Linked DNA regions of Saccharomyces cerevisiae S288C. The gene in region 2 interacts genetically with the main gene of each other region. Each region holds a gene or a part of one and is shown on either strand. Other genes may lie near its edges.

Evidence for each region.
Region 1: mutations in PMA2 (region 2) and FMP52 together harm fitness more than expected from each alone (negative genetic interaction), as found in Saccharomyces cerevisiae (2 studies listed by BioGRID).
Region 3: mutations in PMA2 (region 2) and PHM8 together harm fitness more than expected from each alone (negative genetic interaction), as found in Saccharomyces cerevisiae (2 studies listed by BioGRID).
Region 4: mutations in PMA2 (region 2) and EDS1 together harm fitness more than expected from each alone (negative genetic interaction), as found in Saccharomyces cerevisiae (2 studies listed by BioGRID).

What each region holds. Positions count from the first base shown.
Region 1 is NC_001137.3:157,791-160,785, reverse strand, and holds FMP52 (Fmp52p), read right to left. Parts: upstream 1,207-2,995; coding exon 511-1,206; downstream 1-510. Other genes in the region: YND1 (apyrase), read right to left, coding at 1-236; mannose-6-phosphate isomerase PMI40, read left to right, coding at 1,668-1,698, 1,792-2,995.
Region 2 is NC_001148.4:480,917-486,201, forward strand, and holds PMA2 (H(+)-exporting P2-type ATPase PMA2), read left to right. Parts: upstream 1-1,926; coding exon 1,927-4,770; downstream 4,771-5,285. Other genes in the region: MET31 (Met31p), read left to right, coding at 1-152; EGD1 (Egd1p), read right to left, coding at 512-985. UniProt on the Saccharomyces cerevisiae protein: The plasma membrane ATPase of plants and fungi is a hydrogen ion pump. The proton gradient it generates drives the active transport of nutrients by H(+)-symport. The resulting external acidification and/or internal alkinization may mediate growth responses.
Region 3 is NC_001137.3:224,160-227,354, reverse strand, and holds PHM8 (bifunctional nucleotidase/lysophosphatidic acid phosphatase), read right to left. Parts: upstream 1,467-3,195; coding exon 501-1,466; downstream 1-500. Other genes in the region: Smc5-Smc6 complex subunit KRE29, read left to right, coding at 1-497; ATP-binding cassette family ATPase ARB1, read left to right, coding at 2,156-3,195. UniProt on the Saccharomyces cerevisiae protein: May be involved in phosphate metabolism.
Region 4 is NC_001134.8:300,099-305,203, reverse strand, and holds EDS1 (Eds1p), read right to left. Parts: upstream 3,261-5,105; coding exon 501-3,260; downstream 1-500. Other genes in the region: protein-arginine omega-N methyltransferase HMT1, read left to right, coding at 1-274; YBR032W (uncharacterized protein), read right to left, coding at 3,383-3,685; 60S ribosomal protein uL4 RPL4A, read right to left, coding at 3,950-5,038.

The DNA.
Region 1 (2,995 bases), on a different chromosome or scaffold from region 2:
GATTTGTACGCATCTTGAGGTTTTTTTTCAAAACTCGACAAGCCTGGATTCAGCTTAAAAGTCCAGTCTTTTTCTTGATGAATATGAGGTACTGATTGTAATATGGACTGTGAGTCCTGGTTTGTTGCATGAAGAAGCGATTCCGTGTCCTGCCACTTAAACACATGGATTCTCGAACCCGAAGACCCTGCATCTATGACGATACCAAACCGATCATTAGTGTTTTCTATGAGCATAAGAGGGCAGACGGGGAAATAAAAAAAGCCACGTTAGATATAGTATTTTACTTTATACAGCTAAAACGCAAATACGATATATACGAACGAAATAACATGACGATAAATCTCTGTTTATCATCGTTTCTTTAAAGAAAATAATGAGGCGAAAAAGTAAAAAAAGCTATGATTGTGTGAAGTTGTTGAAAATCCGTAATTCATTGAACCCGTACGCGCGCAAAAGTACGTCACAGTAAAATACAACTGTAGCTGCGAGAAGAAGCCGTTGGTTGATTTAGGTAGCAATCTTCTCCAGAGAAGCTGAGATGTCAAGAATGTCCTTGCTGGAGACAAACTGAACCTTGTCTTTCCCAGAAGTATTCAACGCCAAATGAACACCAACTTTTCCTACCTCATCGCCATAAACTGGATAGCCTAGCAACCTCTGGAATCTAGAACGGTACACGCGAGTGCCCAAAGCAGCAGTCAGATTGCCGCCAAATCCGCTTTGTTTAGAATTTGTCCGTTCACCAAGGAGAGGGCCTGGGCGCAAAATTATAATGTGCTTAAAATCAAGAGCGATAACATCGCGTTCAATCTCGCCCTTCATCTTCATGTAGCCGAACCTGGAGTCCGGATGAGCACCAGCGGAAGAAACGAGAACGATCGTTTCACATCCTTTTTCCTTGGCAGCCTGGGCCAATTGTAAGTTTAAATCATGATCGATCTTGTATTGCTTGTCCAAACCGCCTGCAGCTGCCCTTGTCGTTGCCAGTGCGGTGAATAGCACCTGCGGATTCATTTCATTGGTGATCAATTGTGACCACTTTGAATTATCCCTTTCTACTATGGCCACAACTTTATCAGTGGCCGGAAAGGGCAATTCCCTTCTCAAGATCGCGTATACCTTAGAGAACTGGGGTGCCTCCTGTGCGTGCCTCAGAAACCCGCCTCCGCATAAACCTGTAGCGCCTAATACCAACCCATTCATCGTTGCTTGTGCTCTTCTATATAATCCATCCTATCTTTCTCATCAGTAGGAGGTCGATCTTATGCAAAGTTCGCCACCAACAGCTGCAGTTACATCATATCGCGGAAACTCCGCACTGGCATCGTGCCGCGCGACAAGCGCAAGGATGAGAATCATGAAAACCTTGCTACAACAAGATGCCAATAAAGTCGTTCCCTGATATAGCTAGTACTTTGCGGGAGTAATTTGTTATTCTGCTTTCTTTTGCACTTTGATCATGCCAAGTCTCGTGGTGCACTATCCATTTCGTGCTGCTTGGTTATTGTAGCAATTTTTTGTCGCGTCCGTGTCCTTTTTCGCCGCGATTTACGTATTTAAATATACACGTCGCAATCTTAGTATATTTCTGTATAAAATGTTTGTTTCTTGTAATCATTCAACACTAAACACGTAAAGAACATCAGACCAGAAAATTTTAAAACATGTCCAACAAGCTGTTCAGGTTAGATGCAGGTATGTGCCATTTTTCGTCAAATATTTTGAATACTTTGAGTATTTTTTTTTTTTTTTTTTGGTACACTAACTAACGCGTACGACTCTATGTAGGCTACCAACAATACGACTGGGGTAAAATCGGCTCTTCTTCAGCTGTCGCTCAATTTGCTGCCCATTCTGACCCCTCTGTTCAAATTGAACAAGATAAACCATATGCAGAGTTATGGATGGGTACCCACAGCAAGATGCCTTCCTACAACCATGAGTCTAAGGAATCCCTGAGAGATATCATCTCCAAGAACCCCTCTGCCATGTTAGGTAAGGACATTATTGATAAGTTCCACGCCACAAATGAATTGCCCTTCCTTTTCAAAGTTTTGTCCATTGAAAAAGTCTTGTCTATTCAAGCACATCCCGACAAAGCCTTGGGTAAAATATTGCACGCTCAAGATCCTAAGAACTATCCTGATGATAATCACAAACCTGAAATGGCCATCGCTGTGACTGACTTTGAAGGTTTCTGCGGGTTCAAACCTTTGCAAGAGATTGCAGATGAATTGAAACGTATTCCTGAATTACGCAACATTGTTGGTGAAGAAACTTCCAGGAATTTTATTGAGAACATTCAACCTTCTGCTCAGAAAGGTTCCCCAGAAGATGAGCAAAACAAAAAGCTATTGCAAGCTGTTTTCAGCAGGGTCATGAACGCTTCGGATGACAAAATCAAGATTCAAGCTCGCTCCTTGGTCGAAAGATCAAAGAATTCTCCATCAGACTTTAACAAACCTGATTTACCAGAATTAATTCAAAGACTGAATAAACAGTTCCCTGATGACGTGGGTTTGTTTTGTGGATGTTTATTGTTGAATCACTGCAGATTGAATGCTGGTGAAGCCATCTTTTTAAGAGCTAAGGATCCTCACGCCTATATAAGCGGTGATATTATGGAATGTATGGCTGCTTCTGACAACGTAGTTAGAGCAGGCTTCACTCCAAAATTCAAGGATGTTAAAAACTTGGTCTCCATGTTAACCTATACATATGATCCTGTGGAAAAGCAAAAAATGCAGCCTTTAAAGTTCGACAGGTCCTCTGGTAACGGTAAGTCAGTTTTATATAACCCTCCAATCGAAGAATTTGCTGTATTGGAGACTACTTTTGATGAGAAACTTGGTCAAAGGCATTTTGAAGGTGTTGATGGTCCAAGTATCTTAATCACTACAAAAGGTAATGGTTACATTAAAGCAGATGGCCAAAAATTGAAAGCTGAACCCGGTTTTGTCTTTTTCATCGCTCCACATTTGCCTGTTGATTT
Region 2 (5,285 bases):
GTGGCAAAGGGTTTGCCAGGAAGGATGCTCTAAAAAGACATTCTAACACACTGACCTGTCAAAGAAACAGAAAGAAACTAAGTGAAGGTTCAGACGTTGATGTAGATGAGCTCATCAAGGATGCGATAAAGAATGGTACCGGCCTGTTGTAAGGCTAGAGGAAAACGTATTTGTCTCCATCAGCACACCTACACATACATATATAGATAGATATATACTTTAGCCATTGAGATAAGTAGAATAAAAAAACGTTGTAATATTCCGATACAGTTAGTGACATGTTCTCTACTTTTGCCAATTTTTTGCGCACAAAGTGGTGACGTACAAGTTCATCATTTCACGTGTGCAGCATAGTGTGGTATATTGTTTTTTTATATTTTATTTTTTATTTTTTTTTTTTTGCAGAAAACAGTGTTTGTATTATATGCTTTAGATATGCTAAAAAAAATGAAAAAAAATGGAACAAAATATGTGTTTTTTTATTTAACGTTAAAATTAAAGATTAAGTTATTTATTCGACGTCAGCATCAAAAGTTTGACCTTCAACTAACTCTGGAATAGCTTCATCCTTCTTTTCAGCATCAGCTGGAGCCTTGGCTTCGTGCTTTTCCATTTGGGCAGCCAATTGAGACAAGGCTTGGATGGCTTCAGGGCCCAATTGAGAGATAATACCTGGGAACAAATCTTGCAAGTTCTTTTCCTGTGGTAGACCGTAGAATACAGAAGTGTTGTGTTGAGCAGCAACTTGGACACCGACCTTGTTGAAGTGCATGACCTTACCGTCGTCCTTGAAAAAGTTGGCTTCGGCGACGTTGTCAATGGTGACAGCGTGCAACTTAGCTAATTGACTTTGCAACTTGGTGTCATCCTTGTTGGCACCGGCAGAAGAGCCTGCCTTCTTGTTAAGCTTTCTTCTAGTACCACCAACTTTGTTGTTAGCAGACAACTTTTGTAGCTTAGCTAATTTTTCTTGGTCAATTGGCATTATGAATTATGAGTCGCGTCTGGTGTGAGATGTTCTATTCTTAAACCTCCCTAGAAAGAATATTCGCTCTCTTGTGACAAAGGAGGGGTTACTACTTAACAAGCAATTGCAGCTGTTTCCACTACGAAATCTTCCAATGTCAACGAAAAAAATTCAAAAATTTTCTGCTTTTTTTTTCAACATCTGCCGTACTAAATGATTCCACAATAATCCATCATATACCATTACCCTGATTCCCATCGAAGAAAAGGCGGTGTCCCCTTACCCGTCCGCTCATGCCAAGAGATTAATTCATAACCGCTCTTCCTTGGATCAGAAGTGAACATATGAAGTTGCAACTACTACATACTTACTACCGTAGTCCATCATCAAGGACCCAAACATTCACGACTCCAGCGCGCCACGTTCTTCGCCATACTGCTTAACATTTTGGTACGAGTGCGAATTAGGGAAGTCGATGATAAAATAGAATATGCGAAAAAGAGGAAGAGCAGCCGTGAGAAAAAAGAAAAAAAAAGGCCTAAGGTATTCTCTACTCCAAAATCGTCGAGGGAGGGCAAAAGAAATTTTTTTTGTTTAAGGGAATTGCGAAGTCAATTGATTGATGAAGTAGCTTCTCTGGAAAAATGGCGGACAGACGCTGCTCAAATAACCGTCGAAGGGGGAAAGGTTATCGGTGGAAACATATTTGTAAGTACATAATAGTGAATTTACTTCTTGTCGGCGTCCCCTAAACGTAATTGGCGGTGTGATGGTACTTCGTTATATAAAGGTGTGTAATATCCTCTTTTACCATCTATTATTTCTTCCAGCATTTCTTGCTGGATAACCTACTGTATCCAAGCTACTGGGCTTTTTTAAACATACCCATAACTTTTTTTTTTTCATTTTTCGTTGCTGTGTGCTAGTACAATTTAAGCAAAAGGAAACTGTTTTGCGTTATGTCTTCCACTGAAGCAAAGCAATACAAGGAGAAACCCTCGAAAGAGTACCTCCATGCCAGTGATGGCGATGACCCTGCAAATAATTCTGCCGCTTCTTCGTCATCTTCGTCTTCTACATCAACTTCCGCCTCGTCATCGGCTGCAGCCGTTCCACGGAAGGCCGCAGCCGCTTCTGCCGCTGATGATTCTGACTCAGATGAAGATATAGACCAATTGATTGATGAACTACAATCTAACTACGGTGAGGGTGATGAATCTGGTGAAGAAGAAGTACGTACTGATGGGGTGCACGCTGGCCAAAGGGTTGTTCCTGAAAAGGACCTTTCTACGGACCCTGCGTATGGTTTGACTTCGGATGAAGTCGCCAGGAGAAGAAAGAAATATGGGTTAAATCAAATGGCTGAGGAGAATGAATCGTTGATTGTGAAGTTTTTGATGTTCTTCGTAGGGCCTATTCAATTCGTTATGGAGGCTGCTGCTATTTTGGCTGCCGGTTTGTCTGATTGGGTTGATGTCGGTGTCATCTGTGCTTTACTGCTATTAAACGCATCTGTCGGATTTATTCAAGAATTCCAGGCAGGTTCCATCGTAGACGAGCTGAAAAAGACGTTGGCCAATACTGCAACAGTTATTAGAGATGGCCAATTGATCGAAATTCCGGCTAATGAGGTAGTTCCTGGTGAGATTTTGCAATTGGAAAGTGGCACAATTGCTCCCGCAGATGGTCGTATTGTCACTGAAGACTGTTTTTTGCAGATCGATCAATCGGCCATCACTGGTGAATCCTTAGCCGCTGAAAAGCATTACGGTGATGAGGTGTTCTCCTCATCCACTGTGAAAACCGGCGAGGCTTTTATGGTTGTTACTGCCACTGGTGACAATACCTTCGTCGGTAGGGCTGCCGCCTTAGTGGGGCAGGCTTCCGGTGTAGAGGGCCATTTCACTGAAGTATTGAATGGAATTGGTATTATCTTACTTGTTCTAGTTATCGCTACTTTGTTGTTGGTCTGGACCGCATGTTTCTATAGAACGGTCGGTATTGTAAGCATTTTGAGATATACTTTGGGTATAACCATCATTGGTGTCCCAGTCGGTTTGCCAGCAGTTGTTACCACGACCATGGCTGTCGGTGCAGCTTACTTGGCTAAGAAGCAAGCCATTGTTCAAAAGTTATCTGCTATTGAATCCCTTGCTGGTGTTGAGATTTTATGTTCTGACAAGACTGGTACTTTAACCAAAAACAAGTTATCTTTACACGAACCCTACACTGTCGAAGGCGTTTCTCCGGACGACTTGATGTTGACCGCTTGTTTAGCTGCCTCTAGAAAGAAGAAAGGTTTGGATGCTATTGATAAGGCTTTTTTGAAGTCATTGATTGAGTATCCAAAAGCTAAAGACGCCCTGACCAAGTACAAAGTTTTGGAATTCCATCCGTTCGACCCTGTCTCAAAAAAGGTTACCGCTGTTGTAGAATCCCCAGAAGGTGAAAGAATTGTTTGTGTCAAGGGAGCCCCATTGTTTGTCTTGAAGACTGTTGAAGAAGATCACCCAATTCCGGAAGATGTGCATGAAAACTACGAAAATAAGGTTGCTGAACTAGCTTCTAGAGGTTTCCGTGCTTTAGGTGTTGCTAGAAAGAGAGGGGAAGGTCACTGGGAAATCTTGGGTGTTATGCCATGTATGGACCCCCCTAGAGATGACACCGCTCAAACAATCAATGAGGCCAGAAACCTTGGTTTGAGAATCAAGATGTTAACCGGTGACGCTGTTGGTATCGCGAAAGAAACGTGTAGGCAATTAGGACTTGGTACAAACATTTATAACGCAGAAAGGTTAGGTCTGGGAGGTGGAGGTGATATGCCTGGTTCAGAGTTGGCTGATTTTGTTGAAAATGCCGATGGTTTCGCAGAAGTTTTCCCACAGCATAAATACAGAGTCGTTGAAATCTTGCAAAACAGAGGTTACTTGGTTGCTATGACTGGTGATGGTGTTAACGATGCCCCATCTTTGAAGAAGGCTGATACTGGTATTGCTGTCGAAGGTGCTACCGATGCTGCCAGATCAGCCGCTGATATTGTTTTCTTGGCCCCTGGTCTCTCTGCTATTATTGATGCCTTAAAGACTTCTAGACAGATTTTCCACAGAATGTACTCCTATGTTGTTTATCGTATTGCCCTATCCTTACATTTGGAGATTTTCCTGGGTTTATGGATTGCTATTTTAAACAACTCTTTGGATATCAATTTGATCGTTTTTATTGCTATTTTCGCAGACGTTGCCACTTTAACTATTGCTTATGACAATGCTCCTTATGCTCCTGAACCTGTGAAATGGAACCTACCAAGATTATGGGGTATGTCTATTATTTTGGGCATAGTTTTAGCTATAGGTTCTTGGATTACTTTAACCACCATGTTCTTGCCTAATGGTGGTATTATCCAAAATTTTGGTGCCATGAATGGTGTCATGTTCCTGCAGATTTCACTAACTGAAAATTGGTTAATTTTTGTCACTAGAGCTGCTGGCCCATTCTGGTCTTCCATTCCATCGTGGCAGTTAGCCGGTGCCGTTTTCGCCGTTGATATTATTGCTACCATGTTTACCTTATTTGGCTGGTGGTCTGAAAACTGGACTGATATTGTGTCAGTCGTTCGTGTCTGGATTTGGTCCATTGGTATTTTTTGTGTATTGGGAGGATTTTACTATATTATGTCCACGTCTCAAGCCTTTGATAGGTTGATGAATGGTAAGTCATTAAAGGAAAAGAAGTCTACAAGAAGTGTCGAAGATTTCATGGCTGCTATGCAAAGAGTTTCTACTCAACACGAAAAAAGCAGTTAGTAATTTTAAACATCATCCATCTGATTTTTTTTCTTATTGATCTCCTTTTTGTTATTCCTCATTTTCATTTCAATTTGTCGATACCAAGGAAGCCAAGACGTTATAAAAGAACACGGTCAACAAAAATCAAATTAATGCCTCTTCAATTGTGCTCTGTTTGATACCTTCGATATGATGTTACAGTTTTAAAGTTTACACACAAGTTTTTAGACTAAGTGGCATCATATCTGTCAATTTTATCACACACACACACACACACACACACAAACAAACATATCCACATATCAGAAGTAGGCCGATCTTTTGCTTGATTGGATGCAAATTCATATGGAAAATTTTTTTCATATTATTTCGTGTTCTTTTGACTATTTTCCTCTCCAAAAAGGAAGAATCATTCCAATAACAACACACGAATTCCCATCCAACATGGTGAAATGACTAAATATTTTTTTTTTCGAAACATTAAATCAATCTAATTCTTAATTTTTAATAAACATATAATGCACACTTATTTA
Region 3 (3,195 bases), on a different chromosome or scaffold from region 2:
ATGATGATGTTAGAGAATTCTTTCTGAAAGCCTTCATATGTTTAATCTTGGATAGAAAGGTTTTTAACGCTATGGAATCGGACCATAGACTGTGTTTTAAGGTCCTGGAATTATTTAATGAGGCACATTTCATAAATTCATATTTCGAAATTGTGGACAAGAACGACTTTTTTTTACATTATAGGCTACTACAAATCTTCCCTCATTTACAAAGCGCCTTGCTCAGGAGACGCTTTAGTGAAAAGCAAGGTCGGACTGAAACTATACAGCAAAATATAATCAAAGAGTTTAACGAATTTTTTGATTGTAAAAACTATAAAAATCTACTATATTTTATTTTAACGATGTATGGCTCGAAATTTATTCCTTTTGGTCCCAAATGTCAAGTAACAGAATATTTCAAAGATTGTATTTTGGATATTTCTAATGAAACGACAAATGATGTTGAAATTTCTATCCTGAAGGGAATATTAAATTTGTTTTCTAAAATCAGGTAACAGTCATGATGACTGAACATTGATCTGTTGATTTGACCAGTTGACTGCTTCCCCTTCCTCTTCCAACTCTTCCATTTCCTTTATGGCAATAGAGGATGGACGGTAAACTTCAACGTCCATTATCAATGGAATCTCAAGGATATCTTTCAATATGGAAAATTGTTGCTTATTTTTGTGGTCCTTAGTAACAATATTTTCTGACTCATATTGGTAATCCTCTATCAAATGGATAACATGGCCCATCCCCATGCTCAACGCGCTCCGCACATTGCTTTCGTTGTCATCAATAAACCAGGCATTTGCAAAGCTCGACAACCCACTTTGCAATTTAGCTGTTTCGAAGAATTTTGGATCTGGCTTGCAAATGAATTCTTCCTCGATGGGTCTGTCGTAGTGGCAATAGGTTATGCCGTCAAATAGATCAGCAATACCTAATATTTTAACACATCTGATGGCATGATTTTTGTACGAGTTTGTAAACAGCCATAGTTTGTCAAATTTGCCGAGCTTCTTTTTCTTTAAATTGATCAGCAGCTCCCTTAACTTCCAATCAGGCTTTAAATAGTCTTGCAAAGGTAAGGAATCATCGATGAATGTATTATATTGTAGGACGTCATCAATTTGTTTATTCTTTATTAAACCTTTCACGGATAATCCATATTCTTGATAATACGATTCGATTAGGCGTTCTGCCTCATCGTCGTCAAACCCCAATTCGTATTTAAAGAAATTTGATAATGATTGTTGCATGAGCAATTGTACCTTCGTAGATTTTCTGTACAAAGTGTTATCGATATCAAAGAAAAATACTTTTCGAGCAGGATCCGGATCCGGTAATTTGGGAGGATCCACCTCGAAATTGATTTGTGAGCCTAGATGTGTCAAGCTTTGCAAATGCTCCTGATTTAGTCGTATCTGCTTTTTGATTTGGTTTCTATAAATTGTTCTGTAATCTTTAGCGATAGTCATGATTACGTGCGTATAAAACTTATGTGTTTTTTATCTACATTAAATCTTTTACCAACTATGCGTTAAACCGAGTTCGTATATACATATATATATATATATATATATAAACATATATTTCTATACATGTACGAATGTATTACATATGCTAAATGTATGTATATACATTATATGCACATCTCCTAATAATGAGCCATTTCAGTATTGCGGCAAATACGGAAAAACCCGCAGAAACGATCGTACAGATCCAAGAACTTGGTTTGTATGTGAAGCACGTTGCTGCCCCCTTTTTTTCTCAACCATCTCCGGCGGCGACCGCCGGCTTTTTTCTTTCTTTTTCTGGAAAAAGAAAAACCCCCTATATCACCTTTGACGTTTACTCACTAAATACGAAATGCATTACCCTAATCTCACTTTAAACGAATGAAAAAAGAAAGGTGAGGGGGGAGACCGATGGAAAAAAAAATAAAAATTTTTTTCTTTTTTTTTTTCTTCGTTCACCTCATCTCAATTAATGGCTTTTCCTTGACGTAGTTCAGGTAACTTGGTAGTGATTCTCTTATAAAAAAAAATATTATCATATTTAACATGTTAGTGCCCGTGTAGTTTTTCTTCTTCTTTCTTAACTTTTTTCTTGCAAAAATTGTTTTCTTCCCCTCAGTGCTACAAACAGTAACTTGACAGAACCAAATATGCCACCAGTATCTGCGTCAAAGGCCAAGAGAGATGCTAAGAAAGCTGAAAGAGAGGCTAAGAAAGCCGCTGCCGGTAAAACCATCAGAAAGCTAGGTAGAAAAAAGGAGGCTGCTGCTGAAGAATCGGAGGTAGATGCAGCCGCTAGAGAAATCAAGATGATGAAGTTGCAACAAGATAAGGATGGTCTTTCAGATCGTGTTGTCACTGGTGTTTTGAGTTCATTGGAGACTTCCCGTGATATCAAGCTATCTTCTGTTTCTTTACTGTTCCACGGTAAAGTTTTGATCCAAGATTCTGGTTTAGAATTAAACTACGGCCGTAGATATGGTCTTCTGGGAGAAAATGGTTGTGGTAAGTCAACATTCTTAAAGGCTCTTGCTACTAGAGAATATCCTATTCCTGAGCATATTGATATTTATTTATTGGACGAACCTGCGGAACCAAGTGAATTGTCGGCCTTGGACTACGTTGTCACTGAAGCTCAACACGAATTGAAAAGAATAGAAGACTTAGTCGAAAAGACTATCTTGGAAGATGGTCCTGAGTCCGAGTTATTAGAGCCTCTATATGAAAGAATGGACTCTTTGGATCCAGACACCTTTGAATCTAGAGCTGCTATCATTTTGATCGGTCTAGGTTTCAACAAGAAGACCATTTTGAAGAAAACCAAAGATATGTCTGGTGGATGGAAAATGCGTGTTGCGTTGGCAAAAGCTCTTTTCGTTAAGCCAACTCTATTATTGTTGGATGATCCTACTGCGCATCTGGATTTGGAAGCTTGTGTTTGGTTAGAAGAATATTTGAAGAGATTTGACAGAACTTTAGTTTTGGTGTCCCACTCTCAAGATTTCTTGAACGGTGTTTGTACCAATATGATTGACATGAGAGCTCAAAAACTAACTGCTTACGGTGGTAACTATGATTCTTATCACAAGACAAGATCCGAATTGGAAACCAATCAAATGAAACAATACAATAAACAACAAGAGGAAATCCAACATATTAAAAAATTCATTGCATCTGCTGGTACTTATGC
Region 4 (5,105 bases), on a different chromosome or scaffold from region 2:
CGACATTGTTTTCCCTGCACCAAAGGGTAAGAGACCTGTTGAGTTCTCCACTGGTCCTCATGCTCCATACACTCACTGGAAGCAAACAATATTTTATTTCCCTGATGATCTAGATGCTGAAACTGGTGACACCATTGAAGGTGAATTGGTTTGCTCTCCAAACGAGAAGAATAACAGAGATCTAAATATCAAAATTTCTTACAAGTTCGAATCGAATGGCATCGACGGTAATTCAAGAAGCAGAAAAAACGAAGGTTCTTATTTAATGCATTAAGACTTTTGTTTGCTGGAGAAAGAAAAAAATTTGAAAAGCAAATAAACAAACTTGTTCATATTATTGACGCGAATATGTGTACTTTGTTACCCTTTTTTGTTGGTCGTGTACCAAAATTAGTTTAGATATATGACTTTGCATGTCCTTGTACTATAGTTTTTAAAAGAAAAAATCTACTTATCTATCCTTCATTAGGATGCTATTTTTCACCTTGTTATCATGAATATTAGTTAAAGAAGCAACAGCAACAACCCAATTCTGAATCATCCATCAATTTCCAACCTATGTCGGCAAACTTTTTCAATATCTTTTTGTTTTCTTCCTCCGATGGCGCAACGTTTGAGGCGTTACTAGCTGCACATTTTCCGGAATACATGCTCTTCATTACCGATTCGTAGCATCCGGTACTACTTGTAGCACTTACATAGTAACGCTTAGCACGGTCATGTGCATTCTTCCTAAAAGGTTCTAGGGTATTAAATAGTGCGGTTATTTGCACCAATTCGTTCAGCGCAGTTGACAACGTCATAATTCTGTCATTTATTCCCTTGGCCATATTTCCATTACGGATGTATAAACTTATTAATGTGGTAGGTATGGGTCCTATCAAACTAATGATATTATAGCATTCTTCCACCATTGGCAGCATGAAAATAGAAACAGTTCCCATCAAGTCTTTGGTTGTGCAACGTGTATTTTCTTCACTGGCAAGATTTGACGTAATACTTTGTGTTGGCGACATTAATTCTTCTTCACTGTCCTGAGCAAAATAGGCGTTCGGAAGGGGCTTTGAATCCAAATCAACAGAGTTTTCTGCGTTCATATTAGTAATTGAATCTAATATGCCTGATACCAGAGTGATCATTGAGCAGACTAGCTCTCCGATATTTTTCATTTCAGCATCCGAATTGCAGCAATTTTCTAGAATATGGTCATTTTTCTGTTCAATATTTAGTAATTTTCTGATTAAAATTTCCTTTTTCTTCAAAAGGGTCTCAAATTTGCCAGCTATATTATCATGTTCCCCTTTTTCAACAGCGAACTCTCCGTAATCCGTTTGATTTGTGAACAGCAAGTGGTGAGGTACATTTACTTGCAATGATTTTCTGTTAAGGACAAAATATGTTATAAATTCACCAAGTTTAAGGTTTCGTAGAATGTTATCCAAAGCTACGGGAGCTTTTTCGACGACTTGGTTATGACCTGTTTTATCGCTAAAATATGTTTCAATGGCGCTACCAAAATTTAGATTAATTAATTTTGGTTGACCTAGCCGAAAGCTTTGTAGCGTATCCAGAATGTTTAAAAGGATGTACAACCTTTTGAACAACACAGCATAATCCAGTATCTCGTCACCACTTTCCTCGTTTGAATTTAATAATAGCATTGGGGACGTATTTTGAAAAGGTAGAAATAACTTATGAGCTTGAAATTCGTTAAAAACCCCAACAGAGGGGCCTAGCAAAAGCGAGCTTTCCTCACCGGCCAATATTAAGATAAAATTTAACACTATTATTGTCGAAAAGTAAATGAACTTTATTCTTGAAGGAATAACACTGGAATTTTGTTTTAATACGGGTTTTATAGTTATTAAACTTTGGAAGCAGTCGGCTATACATTTGTTGAAATTCTGAATGTAATACAGACCTTTTTGAAAATCGCATAAACTGTCACGAGACCATGATTTTGTTGATTTCGATGACCTTCTTTGTTTTATTTTGCAAAATACCAATACCTCTAGCGCGGTTTTAAAACACTGGATAATTTCATTGTTAATTTGTCTGATCTCATCAATCACGTTTGGCTTTTCAGGATCAAGCATGTCAGTAAATTTACTTTTGTTAATTGGTATTACAGGAAAATTAATATGGAAAAAGTTATAGTAGATGCCTAAAACCTTGTAGAACGAGGTTGCATCAAACTGTCTGTAGGTTCCAAGCATAAGTGGTTTAGCACTGGCTTCCTGATTCAAGGAAACATTTTTTTCAGTGCTAGGATGAGAAGGATTCGACGATCGATATACAGGCTTCCAAGTCGAATTTTTGTCCCATTTGTCACTTCTACCATCTGTGCCTAATTTTTTGTTCGGAAATCCCGCAGTTAACGAGTTTAATCGTTCCTTTTCAATGGAACGTACACTATTGGGAGTAAGCATGCATTGGTTTTTACCTTGCGTATTACCTTCTGAAGTTGTAGCCTCACTTGTATAGGAAAGGCTGCTTAGCCTGGATCTCCCAGAGATAAAAGGGTTAATGTACGGGCTAGCGCGCTGTTCTTGAATTGGAAGAGATTGTGAACCCTGACGACGAACGTTAGATGAACATGCGCCCATTTCCTCCACGGGCGTTATCATTCCTTTCGCTACAATATCCTTCCCCTCTTGCCTGACATTTAAGTTTTCATCTAAGCGATAGTTTCCCCCAAATTCGGTAGATATCGATGAATCGCTGCCTAATATTGCCAGAGAGCTCCTACGCTTGATGTCATCGTACGGCACCTTTACAAATTGTTGCGATTGAGCAGTTATCGAGGGAACAAATAGACTGCTTATGGAAGGAAAAGAGGAATTCCTGGCGAGTGATGGTAAGTAGTTATTTCCCGAGTTCATTGGGTATGAATGTGTTCTTGGTCGGTATTGAAGAGGATCATTATCCGAGCTGAATTTTTCAATGGATACTACACTGCCCCTTTTTTTTGCAGGACCACGTTTCAATGGAACTCTAATAAATTGACACTTTTCACCGACTTCTAAGCACCCTTGACATACGCCGGTATGTTTATCAAACCTGCACTTGATTCTTTTCCTTCTACATTGGTCACAAGCGTGAGAGGCTTTCTTCCTTTGCTTCGTGCCCTTTTCACTTCCTCTTTCACAATTCCTCGAAGAAACTGACTGATTTACTTCGCCCATTGACGCTGAATTGCGTTTGCGTTCGTGAGGGTCGCGAATAGGTGTACCATATAAATTAGGAACATGGTGTGACATTTTTGAAAGATTATTCTATTGTTATGTATTTCTACGTAGCGGGCTACAGCTACGAAAGGTTCCAAAGCTATAAAGCAGAATCTTAATCTTATAGAGACAAATTTTGCTAGCGTGACTCTTTATTACTCCAGTCGTGCTTGTTGCAAAAACACATACAGATACTGGCATGGAGTGTTGTTTAACCAATGATTTTCACTGTAGTTTAAGTTAACGGACTGCTCGAAACCGAGTTTCGTAGCCGCGTCAAAAAGATAAAATTGAGCGGAACCGGGGTAATTACTAGCGTGGGGGAGCAGCACCTGCATACTACCAATTGGTTGAGAAGTATCAAAGGGGTATATTCCTTTGTCTACACGAAGTAGTTCCAGGCACAAATCTCCTTTCTCCCTCAGTAGGTTGCTCAATGTGATACGTATGATTACCATTGCCTTCCTGAAGTAACAAACGCTGAAGAAATCTTGTATGTAACCTTCGGTCTGGACTCAATGCGGGGAAAACTGTAAATGTTCCTATAAGAGCATATCGTAAAACTGATCGAACATCAACATATATACATTAAACATAACGAACAAATATCCAAAAAAAAGAATAATTTTAAGTTCAAGAGGCAGTCGTTACCGCTTTAAAGGTATTAAAGGCTTATGTATGTATATAAAAAATAAAAGAATATTTTTAATGTACTAATAAGTTTAATCGTGTTTCAAAGTTTCGGTGAAAACAGCAGCTGGCTTGGTACCAGTCTTTTCAGCCTTCTTGGAACCTAGCTTTTCAGCAGCAAAGACCTTGGCGTAAGGGTTCAATCTCAACAAGACTTGCTTGTTCTTCAATGGGTTCTTCTTCAAAACGTGAGTACGCTTTTGAGTAGCTTGGCCAGCTGGTCTGATAGCAGATTGGATTTCGGAAGAGTTGATAATTCTGGTGACATCAGAAGTGGAGATGATATGGGATGGCAAAGTGTAGCCGACCTTGGAGGAGGCAACGGTTTCGGAACCCCAGACTTGGTCCAACTTGGTGAAAGCAGCTTCGGTCCAGATAACGAATCTACCCAAGTGAGCACCTGGAGCCAATTGCAACAAGTTCAAAGAAGCAACGTTGGCAGTTTCAACACCTGGAACGTTTCTCAAGGCCTTGACGATACCGTTGTCTTCAGCGTAGACAACTAATGGACCTCTTCTTTGAGTCCATCTTCTGTTTCTGTACTTACCCTTACCGGCTCTCAATTTCTTGGACTTCAAGACCTTCAACAAGTCGGAGTGAGCACCAACAGCCTTCAAAGCAGCAACAGCTTCCTTGGTCTTTTGAATAGATTCCAAGTCAGTGGAGACAACCAATGGGATTTCTGGAATCTTTTCGACTCTGTGACCTCTGGCCAAGACCAAAGAGGCAACAGCAGTAGCAGCAATAGCAGAAGCAGTGGCGTAACGCTTTTCGTTGTGGTTAACCTTAACGTTCCACTTTCTCCAGGTCTTAGTTGGAGCAAACATACGACCACCACGACACATGTTACCGAAGGCACCTTGACCGGATCTACCGGTACCACCACCACCAACTCTTGGAATACGAGCGACGGCACGACCGGTACCCCAGGATTCAGCGGAGGTTTGGTGACCAGCCTTTTCAGAAACAGCGTAAGCTTGTCTCTTGTTCTTGTTCACAGAGGTGAAAACAGTGTGGACAATGTCTGGACGGATAGGAGCGGAGAAGACAGCTGGCAATGGCAAGGCATTGGCAGTAGCTTCACCAGTCAAAGAGTGAACAGTAACTTGTGGACGGGACATTTCGATGATTGTTCTTGGGATATTGCTAAATTACAAGAAAAGTGATGAAAAGTACAAGTTGCGAGGC